Mus musculus: one gene and its partners. The protein of the gene in region 1 interacts with the protein of each later gene in a pairwise test. Links are inferred from orthologs where the notes say so. Each region holds a gene or a part of one and is shown in the gene's direction. Other genes may lie near its edges.

The links.
Region 2: the proteins of Washc3 (region 1) and Pbxip1 interact in binary tests that used the Homo sapiens proteins (3 or more experiments, as listed by UniProt). The two-hybrid records come from large-scale screens. The link is inferred for Mus musculus from reciprocal best matches to the Homo sapiens genes WASHC3 and PBXIP1.
Region 3: the proteins of Washc3 (region 1) and Hsbp1 interact in binary tests that used the Homo sapiens proteins (3 or more experiments, as listed by UniProt). The two-hybrid records come from large-scale screens. The link is inferred for Mus musculus from reciprocal best matches to the Homo sapiens genes WASHC3 and HSBP1.
Region 4: the proteins of Washc3 (region 1) and Ift20 interact in binary tests that used the Homo sapiens proteins (3 or more experiments, as listed by UniProt). The two-hybrid records come from large-scale screens. The link is inferred for Mus musculus from reciprocal best matches to the Homo sapiens genes WASHC3 and IFT20.
Region 5: the proteins of Washc3 (region 1) and Txlnb interact in binary tests that used the Homo sapiens proteins (3 or more experiments, as listed by UniProt). The two-hybrid records come from large-scale screens. The link is inferred for Mus musculus from reciprocal best matches to the Homo sapiens genes WASHC3 and TXLNB.
Region 6: the proteins of Washc3 (region 1) and Syce1 interact in binary tests that used the Homo sapiens proteins (3 or more experiments, as listed by UniProt). The two-hybrid records come from large-scale screens. The link is inferred for Mus musculus from reciprocal best matches to the Homo sapiens genes WASHC3 and SYCE1.
Region 7: the proteins of Washc3 (region 1) and Txlna interact in binary tests that used the Homo sapiens proteins (3 or more experiments, as listed by UniProt). The two-hybrid records come from large-scale screens. The link is inferred for Mus musculus from reciprocal best matches to the Homo sapiens genes WASHC3 and TXLNA.

The regions. Positions count from the first base shown.
Region 1 is NC_000076.6:88,214,597-88,218,096, forward strand, and holds part of Washc3 (WASH complex subunit 3), read left to right. Parts: intron 1-1,370; coding exon 1,371-1,478; intron 1,479-3,500. UniProt on the Homo sapiens protein: Acts as a component of the WASH core complex that functions as a nucleation-promoting factor (NPF) at the surface of endosomes, where it recruits and activates the Arp2/3 complex to induce actin polymerization, playing a key role in the fission of tubules that serve as transport intermediates during endosome sorting.
Region 2 is NC_000069.6:89,435,261-89,439,503, forward strand, and holds the start of Pbxip1 (pre-B-cell leukemia transcription factor-interacting protein 1), read left to right. Parts: upstream 1-1,443; 5' UTR 1,444-1,520; exon of another isoform or gene 1,521-1,694; intron 1,695-4,243. UniProt on the Homo sapiens protein: Regulator of pre-B-cell leukemia transcription factors (BPXs) function. Inhibits the binding of PBX1-HOX complex to DNA and blocks the transcriptional activity of E2A-PBX1.
Region 3 is NC_000074.6:119,343,333-119,347,337, forward strand, and holds the start of Hsbp1 (heat shock factor-binding protein 1), read left to right. Parts: upstream 1-1,205; 5' UTR 1,206-1,243; coding exon 1,244-1,288; intron 1,289-1,603; coding exon 1,604-1,670; intron 1,671-2,280; coding exon 2,281-2,399; 3' UTR 2,400-2,401; intron 2,402-4,005. UniProt on the Homo sapiens protein: Negative regulator of the heat shock response. Negatively affects HSF1 DNA-binding activity. May have a role in the suppression of the activation of the stress response during the aging process.
Region 4 is NC_000077.6:78,535,021-78,539,160, forward strand, and holds the start of Ift20 (intraflagellar transport protein 20 homolog), read left to right. Parts: upstream 1-1,340; 5' UTR 1,341-1,556; intron 1,557-3,489; 5' UTR 3,490-3,718; intron 3,719-3,813; 5' UTR 3,814-3,815; coding exon 3,816-3,942; intron 3,943-4,140. UniProt on the Homo sapiens protein: Part of intraflagellar transport (IFT) particles involved in ciliary process assembly. May play a role in the trafficking of ciliary membrane proteins from the Golgi complex to the cilium.
Region 5 is NC_000076.6:17,841,219-17,843,690, forward strand, and holds part of Txlnb (beta-taxilin), read left to right. Parts: intron 1-207; coding exon 208-303; intron 304-1,479; coding exon 1,480-2,262; 3' UTR 2,263-2,472. UniProt on the Homo sapiens protein: Promotes motor nerve regeneration. May be involved in intracellular vesicle traffic.
Region 6 is NC_000073.6:140,777,855-140,781,354, reverse strand, and holds part of Syce1 (synaptonemal complex central element protein 1), read left to right. Parts: intron 1-420; coding exon 421-480; intron 481-823; coding exon 824-898; intron 899-1,424; coding exon 1,425-1,472; intron 1,473-1,706; coding exon 1,707-1,761; intron 1,762-1,928; coding exon 1,929-2,018; intron 2,019-2,226; coding exon 2,227-2,290; intron 2,291-2,778; coding exon 2,779-2,845; intron 2,846-2,922; coding exon 2,923-3,046; intron 3,047-3,109; coding exon 3,110-3,220; intron 3,221-3,356; coding exon 3,357-3,438; intron 3,439-3,500. UniProt on the Homo sapiens protein: Major component of the transverse central element of synaptonemal complexes (SCS), formed between homologous chromosomes during meiotic prophase. Requires SYCP1 in order to be incorporated into the central element.
Region 7 is NC_000070.6:129,638,266-129,642,225, reverse strand, and holds the start of Txlna (alpha-taxilin), read left to right. Parts: upstream 1-1,160; 5' UTR 1,161-1,255; exon of another isoform or gene 1,256-1,295; intron 1,296-1,420; exon of another isoform or gene 1,421-1,798; 5' UTR 1,799-1,804; coding exon 1,805-1,970; intron 1,971-2,658; coding exon 2,659-2,997; intron 2,998-3,960. UniProt on the Homo sapiens protein: May be involved in intracellular vesicle traffic and potentially in calcium-dependent exocytosis in neuroendocrine cells.

The DNA.
Region 1 (3,500 bases):
AATTCTATGTTGACATTAACATAAGGAAATGAAGGTAGCTATGTCTACTTTCTCTGCCCTCTGTGGGCTTCAGCAAGTGTATCTGTTGTTTAGAACATTTCTTTGGCATGGAAATCTTGAAGCTGGCCTTGAATGTGCTGGGGACATTATGTCAGTCACAACTATACCCACTGGTGACTTTGGGACCACTGCCACTTTGCTAAGCACTGTCCTCAGTCAGCAATGACTTTTCCTGCCTGAGATCCTATCATCGGGGAGCTCTTATACCCTCTCTTATGACTGGATCTTATTAACAGTTAGGAATTTTAAAGTGCTGCCATCCGCAGACACAGTTACATTTCTGTGTGGGCAAGTTAACCTTAGCATTTCCCTGGCTGTAGTACAATGTCCACAGTCAGCCAAACAGCTGGCGAAGACGTGTCATAGCACCAGACAAAAGCAGGACGAGTTTTTATAAGTCTAATAACCCAAATGCTTATCTTTTTTGTTTTGAAATATTTACCATTCGAGTCTGAAATGTTGACAATATGTCCATTTGTTGTGTATGAAGAGAGCATATTTAGGTAATATTCAATGATAAATGTTTAAAGAGAGTAAAACAAGCTGTGTCATATGTTAAAATGTAAAGGCGTATCTCATATAATTAAAACTCAAAATTGGTAGAGGGCTAGGGAGAAGACTCAGCTGGTGAAATACCAGCTACGCAAGTTTGAGGGCTCGAGTTCAGATGGGAGAGAGGAGGATCCAGCGACTCCAGCTGAGAGAGGAGCTGCAAGGTCTCTGAGAGACCCAGTACACACACACACACACACACACACACACACACACACACACACACACACACATAGCACATTCACGTGCGCGCACACGCGCGCTCGCGCGCACACACACACCCACATGCAAGAAAAACGGTGTGCCACAGAGTACTTTTCATTAGCAAGGCATTTTTAATAAAAATATTTAAAATAGTTTTATAAGGAAAATGTTTTCATCCCCTTACAGATAACAAAAGTAGGACATAAGGCAGGTGGGCCAGGGAGCCCACAAGCATATTAGAACTTTAGTACACTTTGGCAGTCAAATTCCAAAGCCCATGTTCAATCCTCTGTGATCTGTCGGCTGAATGATAATTTGTAAGGAAAGAAAGGTTATCAACTAAATTAAACTTTTGAAAAAAAAAAAAAAAAACCTCTTTCAAAGAACAGCGTTTTTCACTTTTAGTTTGTGACATAGAGATTGAAGATAGAGTTCTGAACCTATCTACACGGTTGTATAGGTTTAAAGGCGCTAAGGAAGAATCCACAGTTCAAAAGTTTTATCTGTGCTCCAAGACTGATCTTTGTATGCCCACACTAATTCACGTTTCTCAGCTGTCATCTATCCCAGGCCTAGAGGACGTCACAGTTGAAGTGTCTCCTTTAAATGTCACTGCTGTCACAAACGGATCACATTCTGAAACCACTTCGGAGCAAACGCAGGTAAGCACCCGAGTTGCAAGAGATGCAGGACATCTGGGTTGAACAGGACAGCCAATGCTAAATATGTGCGAAATTCTTGGTACTCAAATCGTAAAACCTTAAGCTTTAAATAGCAATCCAAAATTAACAAGACCCAAAGGCTATATATTTCAATTTTCTGAAAAAGATAGAGTTTTGACATTGACTTGTTTGAATCCACATTCTACATCATGATAAGAGTCACTGTATAGTCAGCTTTTACGCTATAATATTCTTTCATGTTTCTATACATTTAAGTTTTTTACTATTTATCTTAAAATCTCCATTACATATACATCTCAATAAGTACTGAAATTTGAAACAATCACCAAACTGGTGAGCCACTAAAATAATATCAGCAAAGTAGTCACCTGTGTAGGTACATTTTACGTTTGCACATAGAAGTGCCCTTACCCAGTCTGTTAGGTCACCTGTGCTCATCCTCAGAAGAGCCCTGCGGCCCCTCGTAGTTGCTCTTCTATGCCTGATTCCACATCTCGGATTCACCTAGGCAAACATGGAGAGTATTCAGAAAAAATAATTTGTATCTCTAATGAACATTCTTCTTTGTTTGTTTTTGTTTTTCGAGACAGGGTTTCTCTATATAGCCTGGGCTGTCCTGGAACTCACTTTGTAGACCAGGCTGGCCTCGAACTCAGAAATCCGCCTGCCTCTGCGTCCCGAGTGCTGGGATTAAAGGCGTGCGCCACCACACCTGGCTTCTAATGAACATTCTTGTCAGTATTCCTTAAACAGTGCAACTATTTACATTGTAATAGGTACCATAAGTAATCTAGAGAAAGTTAAATTCAGACCAAGGCCACTTTATATAGGAGACTCTAGCAGATTTCAGTATCTGTGGGGTCTGAAGCCAATCTCCTGCAGATCTCAAAATACCTAGTACTATTAATCACTCCTAAATTTCTTAATTTGCTTTGCAGACTCAGAATCATCTTTTGTGTGTCTGATAATTTTTGAGTTGTAAATTAGTTTGTTTAGACTATCTGGAAGTTCTTGTAGCCTTCCTGGATTTATACAATTGTGATAGTTATTGTATTGATCAGCTTAATAAAAGGACTCTTAAGGCGTTTTAATATTTAGATTGACCCCTCTTTTTTCCTTCACTGACATTAACTAGTGGACTTTTATATAAAATATTTTGAAGCCAGGTGGTAGTGTACATCATTAATGCTACCACTCAGGAAGCAGAGGCAGGCAGATCTCTATGAGTTCAAGGCCAGCCTGGGCTACAGAGTGAGTTCTAAGTCAGCCATGCTATGAAAAGAAATCCAGTCTCAAAAAGCCAGTGTGTATGTTTGTGTGTATGTGTGTGTGTATGTTGTGTGTGTATGTATGTGTGTGTATACACACATATATATAATATTTTGAAAGGAACTAAATATTGCTTTATGAAGATTTCCATGGTTATGATAGTCAAATCAGCTATGCACTTTTGATATATATGCGTACATGTACAGCTCTGGCACATCAAGGTCATCCCTAGCTAAATAGAGAATCAGAGGCCAATCTATATGAAACCCCTGTCTCAACACAACCCAATAACAAAACCACCCTTTTGTAACTCTAAACTATGAGTCAAAATCCTAAGATCTGCATACTGATTTCATACAACTTTAATCTCAGATCTTTGTTGTACAGAAACTAGACTGTCTAGTTGTACAGATTGAGATCAATTGGAGAATAAAATGAAGGACAGTTGAGAGAAGGGATTATGATGCTTAATGGACCATTCACATAGTAAAGGCATGCCAGTATGTAATTAAACCCTGTGAAGGCGTGTTTGTTGGTTGGTGGGCACAACATAACTACTGGAAGTTGAAGACTGTTGAAGACTGGACAGAGCTCTCATTTGCTCTGCTGAGCTTGGGTGAGCCATGCATAAAGACTTTTAGAAATGCACTTGGATATTTTCTCTTTTCATGGGTAATGATGTTTCAGACTTCTATTTGCAGATGAATATTTATACTCATATATATTTCATTC
Region 2 (4,243 bases), on another chromosome or scaffold:
TAGATCCTCAATGTGGGAACCTCCGCTTTTGGAGCAATTCTTGGGCTAGTCGGAAGCCAGATGGGGTTGGAGCCAAGGCCTCTGGCATCAGGGCCTGAGCTCTGGATTTAAACCTTCCAGTTCCCTTGCGTCCAGAGTTTTTATTTCAGACATTTATTTGGGGTGCCCAAGGAGGTGACAGGTGAAGATACTTTGGGCTGACCTGAGGATCTGAGTTCAATCTCTGAAACCCATGGGTGGAAGGAGAGAACTGACATGGCAGCTTGCCCTCTGCCCTGTGTCCCACGGCTGGTATGTATCCTCACACACAAGTAAGGTGGGGTTTTTGTTTGTTTGTTTGGTTGGTTGGTTTTAAATATGAGTTTTCAGGCTGGATGGCTCACCAGTTAAGAACTCCTGTTTTTTTCCAGAGGACTCAGGTTCAAGTCCCAGCACCCACGTGGCAGCTCACAACCATCTGTAACTCTAGAATGCTACAGCCATGCTGGCAAAACACCCATCCACATAAAAATTTGAAATTTCTTAAATGCTTCCCCTTCCATTTTACAGATGACAGACAGCGCTCCACTGCTGGGTCACATCCAGCCCTGACTTTAATTTGTGGATGCTTTTCTGCCTCGGTTCTTCCATTGTTTTTGTTTGAGTTTTTTTTTTTTTTTTTTTTTTTGCTTTTGTTTTAGTTTGGTTTTGGTTTGGGATTTGTTTAGTAGCCCAGGCTGGACTTCAACATCCACTTCTTCAGTCTTTCCAGTGGTGGGATTATAGCACCTCCCTCCATTAATTTTTTAAAAATTTATTATCTTGTGTCTGTATGATCTCTTGAGGTGCAAACATGTGCACACGTGGAGGTTTTACCCAGCTAAGACATCCCACAGGGTGTGCGTGTGCATGTGTAGCAGGATCTCACTATGTAGCCCTCACTGGCCTGGAACTCACTATATATAGATTTGGCTGATATCAAACTCAAGAGATCCACCTGCACACCTGCCTCTGTCTCCCAGGAGCTGGCACCACCATGCTTGGCCGTCTTCCATATCCAAAGTAGTGGCATCCTTAGTCTGCATTGGGGCGGATAAGAGTGGTGAGAGGGCTATTTCTAAACCCACAACTTGCACTGGACCCCATCCCCCATCCTACAGCTGTCTCTGTCTATCCTGGGACCAACATGGCACCTGGTCCTTGCCCCCTCATCAGACAGCACCTTTCAGTTTTAGGTCTTCCTACTAGACACTAGACACTGAGAAAAGAGGGGAGGTCTCCCAAATTTACTTTGCTGGAGACCAAATTGCCCACCAAAAAAGATAAACCAAGGGAGAGAGGTACTGCGTAGACCTTCTCTCCCCTGCCTGGGCGTTCAAGTCCAGCTTTTCATTGGTCAAAAGTTCCCCCTCACCCCCCCCCCCCGCGGGGAAGTCGACTTTTCACTGGTCAAACACTAGCCACGTGACTCCCCTCTTGTCTTCCTGGGCTGGGAGGTTGCAACAAGTTAAGCTGAAGACTGAAGCGAGGAGCTGGGTCAGGTAAAGGAGTCCTTGCCGGGAAGGGGCGTTACAGACTCCCACTTTATCCCCAGATAACAAAAGAGGGCAAAGCTGTATAAAAGGAGTGGGCAGCCCCGGCGTCCACATACTGCCCAACACAGGACCGAAGGGCGGGGAAGGAGGGAGACAGATGATTCCGAAGCAGGAACTCAGGCAAGTTTTTGTGGTCCCAGGTCCTTCCCTTTAAAGGTCAGACAGAGAAGGAAGTTAGAGACAATCAAGGGCATATCAAACCAGACTTCCCAGTTTTGTGCAGACTGGGAACACTCTCTTTTTTAGAAACAGCAGAAGTTTTTGTGAAATCCTGCCTGAGTGAAAAGGGGAGAGAGAGTAGTGGGTGGGTTTTCTTCTTAGAGGTCAAAGACTGCCCTAAAATCACAGCTGGGAAGGGTGGCAGCTAAGTGGGCTCTGGATTGCTTAGACAGGCTTCCTAATAAGGTATTAATGTGCCGATGTGCCGGCCTGGGAAAGCGGGGATGCTTTTTGGTATCAAGGGTTGGGACCCCGAGTGCAGGGGTTCTAGGAAGACTTCTGCTTCAGTTTTAGGTTTGTCTTGTTGACCTAAATACCATACCATTGCCGATTTCCATGGAGACGATGGGTCTGACATCACCCTGGTTGCCATGGTGCTGAGTTCTGGAGGACCTGAGCAGGCTGTAAACAGCCAGGGATAAACAGGGACCTCTGCTCTAGCTGCTGTGGCCACTTCCTTCCTGCTGCCACCTGTTAACAGTCACACACAGCAACTGGGGATGGCAGGACAGTGGAGGGACTGAGAGCCAAAAGCTGAAGGAAGATGGCTGTGTGGGTGTCACTAGAAGAAGGGGGTGGGGAGTTCGGGGTTTTTTGGGGACTTGGTATAGGGAAGTCATTGCAATTGTTTTGTCCCTGTGTGGGATGGGTATCAGTGTCTAGGAGACATGAGCATTGTGGAAGACACCACTAGATGTCCTTTACCTATCTTGGGCCTGAATCTTGCCCAACAGGAGCCACAGGATTTTTTTTTTTTTTAATGATTTATTTATTTAATGTAAGTACACTGTAGCTGTCTTCAGACACACCAGAAGAGGGAGTCAGATCTCGTTAGGGATGGTTGTGAGCCACCATGTGGTTGGTGGGATTTGAACTCAGGACCTTCGGAAGAGTAGTCTGGTGCTCTTACCTGCTGAGCCATTTCACCAGCCCCAGAGCCACAGGGTTTTTTAAGGCAATCATGCAGGACTTAAACCCAGTGGGAGTAGTTGGGGAGCATTTGGCTGGTACAGTCAAATTTCACATTCTGCCTTTTCTGCCAGTGGGTCAGCTAGCTGTCTGTCACTCCATCCTCTTACTTGATCCCGGTTGCACCGCCCTAGCCCAAGGGCACAGCCTTGCTTTATGCTGGTCTTTGGAAGTAGAGGGTGATACCTTAACCCCAGCTGCCCTTAGCTGTGATTAGCAAGGGACAGGATCAGAGACCCAGTTCCCCACCCCCCATTTTGCAGATCTTAATGTAATTTATCGATGGTAATTGCCACAACCCCCGCTCCTCCACTTCTCCCCAGTCACTTTCAAGATCCCAGAGATCAACCTGTACAATTTAAGGTTGAGAGGGAGTGACCCAAGTGGGCCGCTGGGCCCTACAGTATTGGAAAACTTCCTTCCTGCTCACTCCAGTGGTAATCCTAGCTGAGCCCTGCACAGCCAGTGCTGAGAACCCCTAAACCGGTAGTCCCTAACCTTCCTAACGCTGCAACCCTTTAATACAGTTCCTCATGTTGTGGTGACCCCCAACTGTGAAATTATTTCGTTGCTACTGCAGAACTGTAGTTTTGCTGCTGTCACAAATCCTAGTGTAAATCTCTGATACGCAGGATATCTGGTATGTAAGCCCTGTGGGATGTCGACTCACAGGTTGAGAACCACTGTCCTAAGTGCCCCAGTGTGTGGAGGACTGATGGTGGATGGGTACTGGGACACTTGGGCCTTAAGGAAGCTGGTGAGCCTTTTCTTTGGGTTCTGTGGGAGGACACTGGGGACTATGGAGGACCCAGGTATTGTGAAAGGGACCCAGGTCATTTCCTTCTCTCTTCAGTCAGTCAGCCTCTGAGATTCCTCCTCTAGCCAGAACACCAGGGGTTGGACTTCTCAGCCTTTGTTCCTCTTTGAATCTTTATGGCCAGTGCAGTTTTCCAAGGTCCTATGGACCCTTGAATGAGGTAGCTTTCCTGTGGCTTTTAGCACAGTGAAGTAAATACTGTCAGGAAAGCTATGGGACCTGGGGCAGGAGGACTGGGACCAGCCCGGGGTTTTGAGGAGACTGACCATCTTTTGAGGCCTGAAATCCTGCTGCTGCTATCTGCCTCTCCTGAAGAGAACTCTCCTCCTCCTTTTCCTCCTCCTCCTCTTCTTCCTTTTCCTCTTCCTCCTCTGCTTCCTCCTCCTCCTCTCTCCTCCTCCTCCTCTTCTTCCTCCTCCTCTCCCCCTCTTCCTCTTCTTCATCTTCCTCTTCTTCCTCTTCCTCCCCCTCTTTTTCCTCCTCCTTTTTCTTCCTTCTTCCTTCCTCTTCTTTTTTCTTTATCTTTTGGTTGTTTCTTTGGAACAAAGCTCATCTGTGTTGCCCCGGCTATCCTGGAACTTGCTCTGGCATCACACTCAAAGAGCCACTGGGATTAAAAGCAAGTGTAGGCCTTCACGCCCAGGAATTCCCGTTCTTAAGAGAG
Region 3 (4,005 bases), on another chromosome or scaffold:
CAGAGGGGATCAGCCACTCCTCCTGCCCTGTCTAGAGTCTTCCTTAAGCTGCCCAACTCCCTATAACAGCCCCAAGGTAGGGTGGAACAATCGGACCTTATATCCTAACGCCGCGTACCTTCACTGGTTTGCTAGACTCAGAGACACCCCCACTCCAGTCCATAAATGTAAAGAATTGGATCTGTCTTAGTTAGGACATCTATTGCTGTGAAGAGACACCATACCCACAACAACTCTCATAAAAGAAAATATTTAACTGGGGCTGGCTTACAGTTCAGAGGACTAGTCCACTATCATCATGACAGGAAGCATGGCATGTGCAGGCAGACATGGTGCTGGAAGAGGAGCTGAGAGTTCTACATCTGGATCCACACACAGCAGGACACTGGCCAGGCTTGAACTTCTGAAACCCCAAAGTCCGCCTCCTAGTGACACACCTCCTCCAACAAGGTCACACCTACTCCAACAAGGCCAAACCTCCTAATAGGGCCAGTCCCTATGGGCCTATGGGGCCATTTGTATTCAAATGACCACGATATTCTATCCCAGCCTCCTCCACTGCCTGCACTGTGTTTTGTCTGTGTGAGGTTGTTGGGTCTCCTAGATTTGGAGTTGTGAGCTACCCTGTGGGTGCTGGGAATAGAACCCGGGTCCTCTGGAAGAGCAGTGAGTGCTCTTAACCGCTGAGCCATCTCTCCAGCCCCCTAATGTTTTTTAGTAGTAACAGAACACTTTCTTATTTTGTGTGTATGTTTATGTGTGTATGCATGCATGTCACAGCAGTGCACACACAATTTGTGGGAATCGAGTTTCTGCTTCCAACATGTGGATCACAGAGATTGAACTCACAGTGTCAGACTTTGAAGCAAGCTCGTCACCGGCTTCGCCTTGCAAGGCCTGAGTGCCTAACTACATCCATGGAAGAAGCCAACGCTAATCCCCACAATTTTGGTCCATTTCCGGCGTTTTCTCCTCCTCTTCCTCTCGGTTCAGCCTTCAGGGTGGAACTGGGCGGAAGATGAAGGCGGAGCTAAGAACTGGGGGGCGTAGCTTATCCGCAGGCAGGACAATCTGAAGCCTCCTAGGACCTTCCGGTGCGTGGCAGAAACTACAACACCCACAATGCCTCGCGGTCCCGTGACCGTGTAGTCGCGAGAACTGTCGGCTTGTGGGCGTCTGCGCCGAGAAACCGAAGTGTAGGTGACGGTTCCGAGACATCGCCGCCAAGCTGGGCACCGGGGAGATGGCCGAGACGGACCCCAAGACCATGCAGGACATCACCTTGGTGGTAAGCGGCAGCCTCATATGGGCCTGGACACCCCGGGGCCGCTCTCGGCCCTGGCGTGGGGTGTGGCCAGCGGCCTCGGCCCGCGCACCTGCGGGGCTCGCCCTCCGGTCGGCCCCGACCCGGACCCTCCGGACCTGACCCGCAGGGACACCGATCCGAGCTGGCAGGCCCTTGCTGAAGGCCTCACACTCCAGCCGGGAACCACCACCACCCCACCCCCCCTTCATGCCTGCGTCCTCGGCTCCCCAACGCCGGTCCCAGGAAGGGGGTCTCGGCATAGGTTGGGATCGGCTGACTTGTCCTGGTTTCTCTTAGGTGGAGACGCTCTTGCAGCAGATGCAAGACAAGTTTCAGATCATGTCAGACCAGATCATCGGAAGGAATATCCTTTTGATTTGGAGGCAGTTTCTTAACTGTGGGGGTGAGCGGGGTGGTTTACAAACAGATTTCAGTTAGTCATTTAGAAATTGCCTTTTTTTTTACAAAGGGTTTATTATTTTTAATTATATGTATAAGGGGGTACTGGGAGTGACTGAGACCAGAGGCGTTGGATCCCCTGGAGCTGGAGTAACAGGCGGTTGTGAACTGCCCAGTACACTCGTGCCCTCTGCAGGAGCCTCGCGTGCTCTTAACGGCCGAGCCTTTTCCCCGTCCCCACTTAGAAGTGTCTTTCCTGATCTTGGCTATATTGTGTTCCCGTGGAGGACTGTGCCAAGAGCCAGAGACACAGCGAGACCTACCCCAAGCCCTTGTTGGTGCCCCTCCAGAACACCAGTAAAGGGGTTTGCATGGTAACCGTTGTCTGGGAGTACTTCTAGAGTTGGAGGTGTAGGGAAGAAAACTCACCCCAGTCCCCCCGAACCCCGACCGCCAGGCTGTCACTGTAGCCAGATGAAACTGGGGAAGCAGCTGTTTAAACCAGTGGGCGGGGGCCTGGGGGGGAGAGGCCGAGGTGAGGTGATGCTGCCGTGCGGGCTCTTTAACTGTGCCACTAGATGACATGAGCAGTCGGATTGACGACCTGGAGAAGAATATCGCTGACCTCATGACCCAGGCTGGAGTAGAAGAACTGGACCCTGAAAACAAGATTCCTACTGCCCAGAAGAGTTGAAGGTGAGGGGGGGGGGTTACCTCAGCGTAAAACGCCCGTCAGTGCGACGGGGTGGGGGGGTGTCGTTGATCGGTTATCAGGAGACCTCTCTCCTCCCCACCGGTGAACTCCCAAGTTTTTGAAATACCACCCGAAGTGAGATCTGACGCCCTCTTCTGGTGAGTCTGTAGACAGCTACAGTGTACTTATCTATAATAATAAATCTTCAGGCCGACCTGAGCGAGCACAGGTCCTAAATTCAATTCCCAACAACCACGTGAAGGCTCACAACCATCTGTACAGCTACAGCGTACTCATATACGTAAAATAAATAAATCTTTAAAAAGAAAAGAAATGTTCCATGCCAAACTAGTTCCTTGGGTAGATTTCACATTTCCGAGTTGTATTACTTCAAACTTACTGTATCAGTGCCAGGCATGTGCCAATCTTTTTCCTCATAGCACGATGTCAGCTATGAAATTCCCACCTAATCCCAGCACTTGGGAGGCAGAGGCAGGCAGATTTCAGAGTTCGAGGCCAGCCTGGTCTACAAAGTGAGCTCCAGGACAGCCAGGGCTACACAGAGAAACCCAATCTCGAAAAACCAAAAAAAAAAAAAAAAAAAAAAAAAAAATGAGATTGATTTTTCCTTCCTTCCTTCCTTTCTTTCTTTCTTTCTTTATTTCTTTCTTTCATTCATGTACGCTGTCACTCTCTTCAGACACACCAGAAGAGGGCATCAGATCCCATTACAGATGGTTGTGAGCCACCGTGTGGTTTCTGGGATTTGAACTCAGGACCTCTGGAAGAGCAGTCAGTGCTCTTAACCTCTGAGCCAGCTCACCAGCCCTGAAATTGACTTTTGTTAAAAGACTTATTTACATATGAGTGTTTTACCTGCATATGTTCCTCATGCCATGGGAGGCCAGAAGAAGGCATCGGTTCTCCTGGAACTGGAGTTACAGGCAGCACTTGCCACCACATGGGTGCTGGGAACCAAACCTAGGTCCTCTCCAAGAGCAAAAGTGCTCTCAATTGATGAGCCTTGTCCGTCCCATGACGGTTTCATTTTAAGTACGTTAACAGTTTGTGTTGGGCCTCACTCGAACCCTAGGCCCTGCATGGACATACGTGGGACTCGGACACATGTCTATCCGGTAAGCTGCTCACTGAGGACCACTGGATGATGGCAGTTTGGGGCATGTGGTTTTGGTGCCCTGCCCTTACCACTGAAATAGCTCATTGCTTTGTTTTTGGAAATAGTGGAGAACTCAAGCCACCTTCATGAGCATAGATATCTTAAGTCCTAGAGATGTGCGTGTGTGTGATTTTTACTGTAAACTTGACGCCTTTACTCTAAAACCACCTACTGAGGTGAATTTCTTCTTGTAGCCTGCACCTGTGCTTGTTGGGGGAGAGGCACTTTTTTGTTTTTTTCTTGAGACGTAATCTTATGCAACCCTGCCTTGTTGGCCTAGAACTTGCTGTATAGACCAGAACGGCCTCAGACTCAAAGAGCTCCACCTGCCTCTGCCTCTGCCTCTGCCTCAAGTGCTGGGATTAAAGGTGGGCCTCACTTTTACCATCTGCAGAGTCCTAATTTCTTAATGAAGTTTACCAAGGATTT
Region 4 (4,140 bases), on another chromosome or scaffold:
GTCGTTTCCTGTTATTCCTCATGTTTTACAGGTAAAACCCACAACACTGGTCCTCAAACAAGAATTAAGTATATACATCAGCTTGCTAAACTAAAACTGACCCTGAAGAGATTTCAGTATGTCCTTGGAATGGTCGGGAGTGGGGGGCTTTCAGGAAGGTCTATATTGGTGCTATATTAAGTAGCATATCCTTTTGATGGCTTAATTGCTTTCAGTGATGGAACATGGAGGAAACGAGCTCCGGGAGTCTGACAGTAACACTACAATGCTAGACTGGTGAGCGACTGACCGCCTTACCTCAAAGCGGGAAAAAAATCAACTCCTCAACAAGTTTTAGCAAGTTCCTCACATACTTTGTGTGCAGTCCCATTTCCCCAGAATCAAGGAAGCACATAAACACGTTCTGCCAAATCAAAGAAACCCAAGTGACTAGGCTTGCCAACTGAGGAAGTCAAATCCGGAGCTAATCTATTCTTTTCCTCCTAAGAGCTACTTTGAGTCCTAGATGACGTCAGACCAGATTCCACCCAGACCAATTAGGTCCAAGAGTCCAATGGCAGGTGACGCCCTAGAAAGAAATTTCTGAGAGGATGAAGTTTCCACTGATAGTTTCAGGGCTCTTTCCTCAGGACTTCGCCTGTGGATAGAGGGGTAATCCTGGGGCTGGGGAACATACACGTGTCTCTATGGGAACCTAATGCGAAGCCAAGCAGAACAAAGCGCAAACGATCACGGTAGTTCAAAGACTTGGGGTTCTAAAGGAAGGACACGAGGTACGGCGAGGTGGGAAGGCTGATTTTGGCAAGAAAGGTCAGAAATCGTGGAAGCGGCTCTTATGTTTCACCCAAAGGCTCTCCAGTGGAAATGGAGAAACATCCCATGTCTCTCGTTGCAGTGTAGGCTGCTCTCCCGCCACACCCCTCCTCTTCTGAAAAACTGAGATCCGTGGTGCCTCCCATCCCCAGAAAAGACCTGAACTTCATCCCCGCGCGCCATCCCGTGCCTTTTGCCCAGGACTCAGCAGAGCCTGTCCTTCCCCTCTGCACCCGCACCTCTGGCTCTCACCGTCCGCGGGGACGCCTCTCCGAGTCTCAGTCAAGTAGCAAGCGGACTCGGTGCCACCTCTGGCCTGCGGCTGCCTGCAATCTCGGCTGTGAGCTCACATCCTGCGCCCGCCGACTCCGGAGTTACAGCCCAACCCTACAGATCGGGAAAGAGACTACAAGACCCGGCATGCACAGCGCGCGAGCTAGCAGTGGGTCGAAAACTTGACGTTTGACTTCCTTCTACTTCCGGGTTCGGGAACAAATCTACTTCCCGTGTCGTAGTCCCCGCCCCCTGAGCAAAGGCTTCTGGGCCTAGTGGGCAGTTATCGCGTGTTGCATCTATTTCCCAGCAAGCACCGCAGGGTGGGCGGATGCTGGTGCTTCTGGACTCGGGGGTGACGTGTGGCTCCTAGATCTTGTCTCCGTGGCAGCAGCCGGTTGCAGTTGCCGGAGAGAAGCTTCTACCGACAGTCGTCAGGGCCGCAGAGCGCTGCCGAGGCGGCTCGTCAGGTAGGTCGGGGACGTGGAGGACTTGGGACGGGAGGAGGCCGACGTGACCCAGCGCCGAGGATTGGCTGGACCGGGTGGAAAGCGGCGGTTTCCCTACCTCGGAGTTTTTAGGGATCGGGTTTACACTCAGCTCAGCCTGGCTCCCTCGATGTCACCGGTGAACCGAGGTTCGGACATTGCAGGAGTATAATTTAGTAAAGACAGCCGCGCCATTTGCCCAGTTCTTCCTGTGTCTACGCCTTCTCCAAACTCCACAGCTACAACTATTTGTTGTGCCTGCGGACCTGGGAGAGCCAGGGAGCGTAGAGCCAGGCACAGCCTTCATGCTTAGGAAACTCAATCCCACGTTCCTGGAGCATATTTGTGGTGGGAGTTAGGGGTGGGCTGGGGATCTGATAGCCCGCTATGTACCATATCTATCTTACCCATCTCTTTAAACTGTCCTTTCCAGCCATACTCTCGGTCCAATCCAGATCCATGGCAATCGTGTTTGGCTCCTTTCTTCACTTTTCTCCAAAGTGCTGCATTAAGCATTACTAAATTCTGTCAATTCAGACATCATCTGATCTCTGAACTCCCGTTCGGCTTCAAATCTTTTCTTCTGTTACAGCCTTCTGTTTCCACATGAATTCATTCATTCTGCAAACATTATCAGAGTGCCACTTACCTGCAGGCAGCCTGCTTAGAGATGCTTGGCTCACAGTGAGAAATTTGGAAAGGACGCCTCTATTCTGCTCTTCCCTGTTCCCTCTGTTTGGCCAAGGCAGTGAGTGATCTTTCCAACTCTGATCAATAAGCACTGCCGAAATCCACTGCTAGCGGTTATCATTATAAAAAATAATCCAAGTTCAGCTGGGTGTGGTGGCGCATGCCTTTAATCCCAGCACTTGGGAGGCAGAGGCAGGTGGATTTCTGAGTTCGAGGCCAGCCTGGTCTACAAAAGTGAGTTCCAGGACAGCCAGGGCTACACAGAGAAACCCTGTCTCGACAAACAAAACAAAACCCAAGTTCATTTACTCATCCAGCTATAGCCGGTTGCCAGCCTTGCTCCCTCTTGCTGTTTTGATCCCAGGACCCTTTGTGTCAAAATCTTCCAGCCTTAGGACGCCCCCATATGCTTTTCCCTATGCCCACAATGTCCCTCTCCCTTCTCTTAGAAGATTTTCTGGACGTGTTTAGGTCCCAGATTGTTTTTTCTGAAGGCTTTTGTTGACCTCTCTGCCTACTTGAGTTATGTCCTCCTGTAGAATCCTGACAGAGCACTGAGCGCTGTTCCTCATACCCTGATCACAGTTTGTGTTTATTTGCTTACTGTCTGTCTAGAGACACTATGTTCACTCTGTCCTTGGAGCTGGGATTCAATAAGGGTTTTTGTTTTTGATAAATGCATGTTAACTCAGAAGGCAGTAGGAGTTCAAACAAGTGTTTGCAGTCTCATGTCATATGAACTCTTCCATAGGACCTGGTCCAGTTAGTCCCTAGGAGCTCTTAAATACTCAAACTATCCAACTAGAACAACACAGGAAGGCAATTGTTTTTTTGTTTTTTGTTTTTTTGAGACAAGGGCTTGTGTAGCACAGGATAGCCTGGAACTCAGTATGCAGCCCAGGTTGGTCCTAAACGTGTGTCAGTCTTCTAGCAACACAGTGAGTTGCTAGAATTAGAGTCACGCATGACCATAGCTAGCTTTTAACTCTCATTTTAAAATTCATCCTTTTTGTTTTGTTTTGTTTTTCATTTCAGGGCATGCATTTGAAAAGCCTTTTTGGGACCTTAAACAGGGATTTATGACTATGCTTTTATCTCGCTCGCAGCTTAGGCCAGATACACCCAAGTGAACTGAAATTGTCTTTTCTCCTTGCTTAGTGATATTTCTGTAAAAATCACTTGATGCAATATAATCCTTCAGGTTCACGTGTCTGTTTTCCTCCAGCTAAGCTGTGCTGCTCCAGGGCAGGCACCATGTTGCATTCATCTTTACGCCCAGCATCTAGCAGTGTCGGCATGTAGTAGGCACTCAAGAAATGTATGTTGAATGAACGATGTCTGTGACAAGCAACTGGACTTTCCTCTTTCCTGACCCTTGCTCCTATGACATACCTCCTGATTGCCACTGTCACCCCTTCAAAGCAGACCTCTAGGGCTTCCTGGAAGGGAAACAGGTGAGGCTGAGAGCTGGAGGCAGAGGGATGGGTGTATGAGGAGGGCTGGGGTGGTGTCTGGGATGAAATTCAGGTCGCTGCTGGTTTCTCTGCAGCTATGGCCAAGGACATCTTGGGCGAGGCAGGGCTGCATTTTGATGAACTGAACAAGCTCCGAGTGTTGGACCCAGAGGTCACCCAGCAGACTGTGGAGCTCAAGGAGGAGTGCAAGGACTTTGTGGACAGTGAGTACCATCTGGAGACACAGTGTTGTTCTGCTTTGAGCAGTTTCCTTACCTGACCTTGGCCATTGTTCTTGGGTCTACCAGAATGAAGTTGCGTGCTCTCTGGATTGAGCCTGGTCTCTGGGTTCCCATGTGTACCCAACCTTCTCTGCTTGCCCTCTTACACTGCCATGGAGTCCCACATTTAGTGCCAAGCAA
Region 5 (2,472 bases), about 70 Mb from region 1:
ACTTGGCTCCGGTGCAAACAAGTTCGTTCGTCACCAATCCAGAGGACTCGGGAAGAAATCGTTCCTCTTCCTCAGTCTTCGTTGTTGACATTGAACATTTGTTTGCTTCAGCAGCTGGTAACAAGAGATTGCCCTTGGTGTCACGTGTGGAGCTAATTGCTTCCTTAGTGCCTCAGGATTATCACTAAAACACTCTAATTTCTGTAGACAACTAAGAAAATGAAGAAGCTGGAGAAGGACACCGCCACGTGGAAAGCCCGATTTGAGAATTGTAACAAAGCCCTGTTGGACATGATCGAAGAGGTGAGGACGCTCTTCCTTCCCCAACCCTGTCAAAAGTAATCATCAGAACCTAATAGTACAAGTGATTACGTTTGGAAAATAGGCTGAATTTCAAGGGAGACGTAACAGATTAAAATATAAGATCAGGAATAAGATCAAGAGTCACTGAGAAATCTAAGGAGGAGTCAGAGATCTTTGTAAACCTTAGTCACAGAATTGTTAGGTAGAAAACTGACCCCAGAATGGCACTATGCCTGCTGGCCTAGAAAGGTTTTGATGAAGGTCTTACTTGATCTTGAACTTCTACTGTTTGGCACCCAGCAAGTGCACTTAATGCATTGGTTTCACTGTGCTGATAGAAGATGCCAGCACATTTAGGGTATTTTACAGACAGATATGAAGAAATCTTTTTAAAACCTCCTCCAACAGGTATTTGGTAGCTGATGTTCTGCCAGGGCCTACAGGCTTTACAACTCTAAAGGCAAAGGTTTATGAGGTCCAATTTGAGTGGCAGGACCTACAAGTGAAGATCCCTTCATGGTAACAAGTAAAGAGGGTCTTACAGATCCAGGGTAGCCAGGGTGGGAATCAGTAGTGAGATGATTAGGAGCAGTTCTCTGCTCACTCTCACACCACTGTTACCAGAGAAAAGGAGAACTGAACGGTTTAAGCAGCCAACATCATGAACTGGTATGTGGTGCGTTTCTGTGGTTATAATTACCACTTTAGAGATTCATTCCAAGTTGCAACCAGTTCCCAAGATGTATGTATGACTCATCAACACTCATCAGATGGCTGCTGGAATTAGCATATAGCAGTTCTAGCAAGAAGACATATTTCCTAGAATACACAACACCCCGCTGAGAGTGAAGCCCAGGCCATCTTACTTATTTCACAGAAGATGTTGCCTATACCCTCCAGTTTTTAAGGAACAGAAGATTCGTGTAGGTTAAGGTGTTTATTGGAGTAGAAAGAAGTCTTAATAGGTTTATTTCCCAAAGAACAGGCAATAGTAATTAAAAGTCTTTTAGTCTAATAATCAAAACATCAGAAAAACAAAGAGATGTCCCGAAATGTTTGTTCAAACGTAGTAGGCAAATTCTAGTTTTGTTTCTGGACAGCATCGTGAGAAATTCACTGCTCATGTCGTGTGTGTGTGTGTGTGTGTGTGTGTGTGTGTGTGCATTTATGTCACAGAAAGCCCTGCGAGCTAAAGAATACGAGTGTTTCGTGATGAAAATCCAAAGGCTGGAGAACCTGTGTCGTGCTTTACAAGAGGAGAGAAAGGAACTCTACAAGAAAATCAGAGAAGCAAAAATGTCCGAAAAGGAAGACCAGGTTCAGCGCACCTCTGAGGAAGAGCCAGAGCCAAGCGTCTCTGAAAATGAAGAGGTGGACGCAGAGGAAGCCAACAGTTTTCAAAAAGCTGTGGAAAACCTGGCCACAGCTTTTACCATCCTTCATCATCCAGAGTTCACCCCAGACCAACCAACGGAAAGACAGCTGGCAGTGAATGGTCCTCAAAGTGGAAGTGATGTCACCCACCAGCACCCCGAAACAGCCCGTTTAAACCATCCCAGCCTTCCCGCTGATTCAGGGAGTCCTCGGCCCCCTGTAGGTGCTCAGGCTGTGGCGGAGGGCGTCTGTGAGGCCACACCTGCCCCTACAGCCTCCTGTACCCCTGCAGAGGCAGAGCTACAAAGTCAGGGTCTCCCTGCAGAAAATACCCCGGGTCCGAAGCCCCATAAACCAGAGGCAAACACTTCTGGTCAGGCCCCACTGTCCCCAGCCCAGGGCTCCCTATCTGTAGTAGAGGCAAAATATGATATTTCACCATCTCCAGAGAGTGAGGGAGATTCTGCTGTGGTGCCCGGCTGTGAGTCTAGGGAGCAGCCCCCACCAGAAGTCACAGACATCCCCGTAGGCCCTTCCACTGGACTCCCCAGAGAGCCCGATGCTTGTCTGAATGGAGTAGACTAAGCCTTGTTGATTCTTCTGGCTGCTCACCTGACTGCATCTTCCTCACAGAAGAAAGTCTGTGAAAGAAACTTCTAGGACTAGGAAGAGTTAGAGTCAAGACATTTTTAAAGTTGTACAGAACACTTCCAGTCTTTGCTGCTGTTTGCAATTTATAACTAATATGGAAATTCTCTGTGATTTGGCAGCCAAACACATCAATAGCAAATATAC
Region 6 (3,500 bases), on another chromosome or scaffold:
TGTTAGATCCAGAGGTTTTACCCATAACCTCTTCCACTTTACATCCTGCCACCTTCTACTTGATCATATGTATCCTGTTTCCTTCTCATTTCCTCCTCAGGGCACCCACTGCTTTACCCAGAGAGCCTGAGGGCCTGCCTTCCTTGATGGAAGCCCCCCAAGACACTTTCCCATATCTGAGAAGCACTTTTTGACCTTTGCCTATGGACCTCTCCCCTTGCTTCATTTCTCTTGACTGAAGTTCCTACAGCTTGGCTCAGTATCTCTATCGGTCTGTTCCTTGTCCCCACAATCCTAGATTGAGACCGTAATGTAGCACCTGTACACGTGAGATGCTTAGGAGATTTCTGTAAAGTAAAAGCTGTAGAATCCCAGGTTAGACACACTCTATCAATAATGAGCTTCCTTTTTGCTTTGCAGTGGGAAGCCTAGAGCCCCGGATTGAGGTCCTGATTAACCGTATTAATGAGGTTCAGCAAGGTGAGCTCAGTGATTGGCTGCCATCCAGGACCAGCTACAAGTTTTAACTGGCCAGGCCCAATAAAAAGTGGAAATACAGGGGTCCTTGTTAAAGTCTCTGTAGTTATTTCATGAGAGCATAAGTGCAGGGCCCTTCTGCCTGTAACCGCCATAGTCATTTGCCTGTGAACACAGCCCTGCTGCCACCCGAGCCTAGCAAGAAGGGCCAGGATTTAGAAAGCCTTGTTTCCTGCTTTGTAAAATCTGGGCCCCCTCTAAGTTTTCTTTGGGGGGAGAGTGTGAAATCTCCTCATTTGTCCTTGAGGCTGTACTTACCAAATGTCTGTCCTCCTCTTTGGTAAAGCAAAAAAGAAAGCCAGTGAGGAGCTTGGAGAGGCCCAGACTGTCTGGGACAACCTGCAGAAGGAACTGGACTTACGTAAGTTAACTGAGAGTCACTAGAGGTTTCTATGATGTCTTAGACTTCTAATGCAGTCCTGCAAACACCCGGGCCATGACTTCTCCTCCAACCTCATTTCTTCTAGCAGTCCCATCTTCTAACAGGAGGGCTGTGGAAATGCCTTTGAGGCCTGTTCTGCCCTGAGTCCTTTGCAGAGATGATCCTCCATGTATTGCCCTAGATAATACAAGTTATTGCCTCACACCAGCAGCTGTATATTATTAGAAATGTCTTTCTTAGTCATCTTGCATTACCTGATCACATAGCCCTTTTGATTGGTGTTGTTTTTCCTGGTCCCAGTGGTTGTTGTACATGGACATGGATATCTTTTGTGAAAATTAGGGCACATTGTGTTTACAGGAATGTGGATACCCGTAGGGGTAGGAACTTACCTCAAGGAAACTGCATCTGGGTTAGGGTCACAGTTATACTTGCCTCTCGTATGACTGCCCTTGACGTTTCTGTGTTTGGTCTCTAATGCCTGAACCTTCATCATCTTTTCTAGTACGTGAAGAGAAAGTACGTCTGAAGGATATTTTGAACAGAAAGGAAGGTATTCCCATATTACCCATTTCTAGGCTTTGTGATACCCTATCTAAGCCCACTCTCTCTAGTAGCTAGAAACTTAAGAACTCCCAACCTTGTGACATTCCTATGGCTTTTACCAGACCCAGAAAATGTCAAAATCCAATCAAGTGTCCACAGACTTGATGTGATATGTTTTTTTCTATTTGCCAAATTAGATGCCTTAGCAAGCACTCAGAGGGCACTGTTGTTATCCTTACAGAGACCCTGAGGATTATGCAGCTGCACTGCCAGGAGAAGGAAAGTGAGGCACAGAGGTAAGATGCCATGCCTGCAGTGGTTTCCCTAAGTGTTCCTGTTACCTCCCACACCATCTGCTCTGCTAGACACAGGCTTGAATACAGAGGAACAGAATAGAAGCCCCCAGCCCTCCCTCCAGGAGAGTCATTCAAAGAACATGGCTGAGTGTTGGTTTCTTTCCCAGGAAGCACAGCATGTTGCAGGAGTGTAAAGAGAGAATTTCTTTCCTGAACTCCCAGATCGACAAAGAGAAGGCCAAACTAAGAAAACTGAGGTAAACCTCAAGGTGTGAGGCTTGGGCTGGGGACGTGATATAGGTATAGTAATGCCCGGGATGGCCAGCCATAGTCCTGGATGGTCAAGGGGTGAAGCTATTCCTTGTGTAAGAGTGGACACGAAGTCCTTGGGTGCTATATAGACTCAGACCTTGGCCTAGCTCTGTGGTAGTTCATGGCCATCATGGCTCTGTGGTTGCCTCCTAGGTTGGATTTTGAAGAACATCTGGAGACTTTGATGAGTCAACATAAGGACACCTTGGAATTTCATGTGAGTCATACAACACTATGCTACCTATTATACTTTGTCCCTGTGCAAGCATTGGTTGGTGGTCCTGCTGTCATCGTAAATCCAGTCCCTGGTGACCACTCTTGAGATACTTGGTGTCTTCAGTATTGGTCCTTACCATTCACTCATGTTGCTGTGTCCATTCAGTGTTCTCTATGTCAGTGAGGAGGCCAGGAGGAGAGAAGAGAGGAAGAAACGCTAATACCTAAGTCTTCAGAGTGTCTCAGGATTGTAGGATTGCAGATTTTAGGGTTTCGAATACTTGCCCTAGAACCTCATTACAGGGTTAAAGGTCCGAGGAGAGGGAATGACGAGATCCATAAACCATAGCTGGCACACACCAAGGGGCAGGGTCCTCGGAAGTGAAACTTACTGAGAGGAGAAATGATGAGATGTAGACAGGCTTCTCTGAAGCTCAGGGGAGCCAGGAGATCTGGACATATCTTCTTGTTTGTGCCCCCCCACCCCAGAAGCCTGAACATCTGACAAAGGAGATGTGTGTTTTGGACAGCAGCAAGGAGCAGCTGCTCAAGGAAGGTGAGGTCAGGGCCAGAAGGGTGGCTCTCAGCTGCACCAACCTGCCCTTACCTTCTTATTACTCTTTCTCTCTGTAGAGAAACTGATGAAAGTAAAGCTGGAGGATGTGAGACAGCGGCTGTGTGCCCTGGGCGGGCCTGAGGGTTCTTCCAGCCTCATTGAGGGACTCTTCCTCCGAAGCCATGAGGCAGCTGCAGCAATGTAAGATGCAGGGTGGGGCAGGAGGAGGAAATGTCTAGCACTGACTTCTTTCCACACTATCAGGCAGATGTTCAAGGATGAGAACAAGAAAGCTGAGGAGTTCCTAGAGGCTGCAGCTCAGCAGCACGAGCAGCTGCAGCAGAGGTGCCACCAGCTACAGCAGAAACGGCAGAGGTAGGCACGGAGCTCCTGTGTCCTCATTTCTCCCAGGAAGGTGAATGGCAGCTGTTTCCCCTGTTCTGCCGGTATGTCTCTTCATATTTTCTTGATTTTTCTGCTTTCATTCTCGTCCTTCACGCTTCCCGGACAGGCTGAAGGAAGAACTGGAAAAGCATGGGGTACAGATCCTTGCTCATAGTACGCAAAACGAAGAAGACAGCTCATGGAGGATGGTAAATCCGGGAACAGAAGGGAAAGGAAAAAAGTGGTATTCTCCAGAGTATAGTCTGTGGAA
Region 7 (3,960 bases), on another chromosome or scaffold:
ATCACAATTGTGGGGTTTTTTTTAATGTTCTGAGCCTACACTGGCACTGCAAATCATAATGAAGAACAAAGACGAGAAAAATCTAACATTTTAAAGCAGTAACACTTGATACTTTGCAGAAAGTGGGGCAGGGGTGGTAGGGTGGGAGTTTACCAACCTGCCTAAAGCCAAACTCCCTGGCTTCAATCCCTTTCTGAGGGAGTAATTGCCAAGCTGGTGGGGTTAGAAGGCGGGGCATAAATTGCCTCAGAGAACAGCTGTGGTGTCGGAGAATGGTTCCAACCGGTTTTGGTAGGCAGCTCTGAGTTAGAAGCCAGCATAGTCAAAGATTACGTTCTAGGACACACTAGGCTACACAAAGAAACCCTGACTCAGGGGGCAAAGAAATATTTTTAAAGGATGGGTGCTGGTGTCAGGCTTCCAGCTTTGAATCTGCTATAACCACACAATATTGATGGAGCCTTAAACTATTTACCCTTTACCTGGTGGCCTTTGCCATTAGTCCAAGCCATGGGGAGGCAAAGACAGACAAAACTCTTGAGTTCAAAGCCAATTTAATCTACATAGGGAGTTCCAGGCCTGCCAAAGCCACATATAACGAGATGTTGTCTCTAACAAACAAATAGTAGTTTGTTTTATTTTAACTAGGCTTTTCTGTACTATCGTATATTTCACAGATCACTGAGTATTTTGTACTTAATCCGAGTAATTATGAGAATCAAGCTACTGGATACGAGGAAAAAACGTTTGAATTATTATAAACCTTCTATTGTAATAGAGGGGAAAAAAATGCCAGGCACATAACAAATTAGTTTACCTTTCTATCCCTCTTCCGAGTTCTCAGAGATCATAGAAAGTCATACATGTTTATAAAGGACTAATGAGTGTATGAAAAAAAAAGAAAAAAAAAAGACCAGAATGCCAAAGTTTAAGGCCAATCATAGCTTCAGTACCAGAAAAGAGGCTGACAAAAATCTCTCGACCAATGACATAATTTCGGACCCTCAGGGTATTTGGCTCCTATGCTTTTCGGTTGCATCTCGGGAGTTGTGCGGCGCCGCGAGGCATGAAGGGGCTCGTAGTTTTTCCCACTCCCGCCTCCAAAGCCGCCTTGACTTCTTTTTTCCCAGCAAGCTCCGCGCCCGCGTTTGCTGTTGATTGGCTGCGGCAGGAGAGGGCGGTCCTGTTGGCAGCAGTTACCTAGGTTTCCGGTGCTCGGCCGGAGAGGAGGACGCCGCCGGACGTCCGTGGTGAAGTATGTCTATGGGCTGTACGTGGGACGAGCTCTTCAGAGGGTCTGTGGCCCAGGACGCGTTGGCCGTAGAGGAACAACTAATTCGGGGGGTCGGGGGGAGGGCGGCCTGCCCCAGTGTTGCGCGTGCGTACTCTAGGTCTAGAGGGCGCGTGGGGTGTGGGTGGCTTCTGTGCGCGCGCGCGCGCGGGGGTCCCACGTGGGACCTGGTGGGGCGGGGAGCCGATCGGGACTGGAGCATCCCGCCACGTCAGTCTGCGGCTCTGAGCCAATCCCGCGCTCCGGCTGCCGAGAGGGAGCCGTGTGGTGCCGAGAAGTGGCATTCGGGAGAAAGGAGGCCTCTTCCTTCCCTCACTCACTCAGGGGCAGCTTCTCGGAAACCTTCCATGGGACCGTGAAATCCCGGGCGAAGACCGACCGGTCTGTTTGAAGCTTCGAGCGTCAGATTTGGGGATTTCTTATCTAGTTGTGAAGAAGAATTTTGAAGTCTAGAAAAAAAAAAGCAACTGGGTCCTTAAAGGATCTGCCCCATTTCTGGCCTTGCAGATCACAATGAAGAACCAAGACAAAAAGAATGGGCCTGCCAAACACTCCAACTCGAAGGGCAGCCCGGGGCAACGGGAAGCAGGACCGGAGGGAGCCCATGGACGACCCAGACAGACAGCTCCTGGGGCGGAAGCCGAAGGTTCCACAAGCCAGGCTCCTGGGAAGACCGAGGGTGTGTGCCAGCTCTGCTTTTCCAGTGGGCAGAGGGAGGAGTTTCTGGTACTGGTCTGTCTTCTGAGGCCAGTGTTTACCCAAGAAGAAGGAACTATAGAATGAACGATGCTCATTCTGTGTGATCCTTTTGTTTCCTGGGGAGGTGGTGAACCTTCCCACTCTTAGCCGTGGGGCGCAACCTTGGGAGCATGCTCTGACTGGTTTAAACGAAGACAGTCAAATGAAGCACCCCGTAAGCAAAGTCATATTCCCAGAGAACACTTGCCAGTGGTGGGTAATTGTCCTTCATGAGGTGCAGCGTCTGCCACATGCCAACTGCTCCTCACACAGGGGTGCTTTACACAGTTGGCTTTTATAACAAGTATGTTTGGGTGTTAGAAATACTTGTTTTATAACTAAACAAACTTAGGGTTTAAAAAAACTTAAATTGAGGCCAGGCCTAGTGTCCCTCACCATTGTCCACAGAACTCAGGAGGCAGAGGCAGACAGATCTCGGAGTTTGTGATCAGCCTGCATACTAAGTTCCAAGACAGCCAGGGCCCTGTAGAGAGAGCCTAACTCAACCGAATAAATAAATAAAACAACATTTAACCCACACCAGTGTGTTTATCTGGGCTTAAAGAAGATCCAAGCGAGTGGTATGACCACTGAACTTTAATCCCGTGTCTTCATCTTTCCTGCTGTAGGGGCTCGAGCTAAAGCAGCTCAGCCTGGGGCCCTCTGTGACGTCTCTGAGGAGCTGAGCCGGCAGTTGGAAGACATCCTGAGTACATACTGTGTGGACAACAATCAGGGAGGCCCGGCTGAGGAGGGAGCACAGGGTGAGCCCACTGAGCCGGAAGACACGGAGAAGTCCCGAACCTATGCAGCCAGGAATGGGGAGCCTGAACCAGGCATTCCAGTCGTCAACGGCGAGAAGGAGACCTCTAAGGGAGAGCCTGGAACAGAGGAGATCCGAGCGAGTGATGAAGTTGGAGACCGAGACCATCGGAGGCCACAGGAGAAGAAGAAAGCCAAGGGTCTAGGTGAGGGGGGAGCTATTGGTGAGGGGAGGGAGTTAACACCTGTCATCTCATGGGCTAACCTGCTCTGTCAGAACTCAAAAGAATCTGCTTTTCAAGACAGTATGTGTGTTATCTCCCCTCCCCCCCGCCCGGGTTTACTCAAAGATGGGGTCCTAGCATTGAGCTGTTAGATCACTCACTTGTGCAAAGCCTCCTGGCCTTGGGAAGTGGAGGCAGAGTGTAGCTAGCATCTCACTGAGGATATGGAGAACAGGAGGCCCGAGTGCTTGCCAGCACCACTTTTAGCTGCTGCTTGACTTTGGACATGTTTATTCTCCACTCCTGGGTCTTAGTTTCCCTGTTTCTATAGCAATAGAATTAGGCTACACCAAGGTTGAGATATCAAATATCAACATGAACCAGGTAAGCCACAGACCTCTTCAGAATCATCAAGAAAGGGCCTTCTTGATCTGAAAAATTGACTCCTACCTGGTTAGTCCCCCACTCTCATCTGACCAGCTGAATAATTGGCAACCAAAATAATAGAAACCAAGCAAAGCCATCCACTGGTGGGGTTTGCCATCTCCATGCCAATCTCGTGGGCCTCCAGGACTGACAATTCAGGAACCTGGTCTGTGCTGACTGAATACAGTGGAACCCAAGGGAGACAATTGTAAAGCTTCCTGGCTGAGGTAGAGGCAATCAGGCGTGATGGCATCCACCTTTAATCACAGCACTTGAGAAGCAGGGGCAAGTAGATCTCTTGAGTGCCGGACCAGCCAGCTGCATAATGAAACCTTATCTCAAATGAATAAAAACAGAGAGCAATGGCAGTCCTTTGACAGGGGTGGTGGGATAATATGAAAATATGAATTTAGAATCTAATGGGAACCTATGTGGTAGTGTATGCCTCTAATGGGCGACTAGGAGGAACAGAGGCAGGAAGACTGAGTTCAAAGGCAACTTGGACTACATAGCAAGACC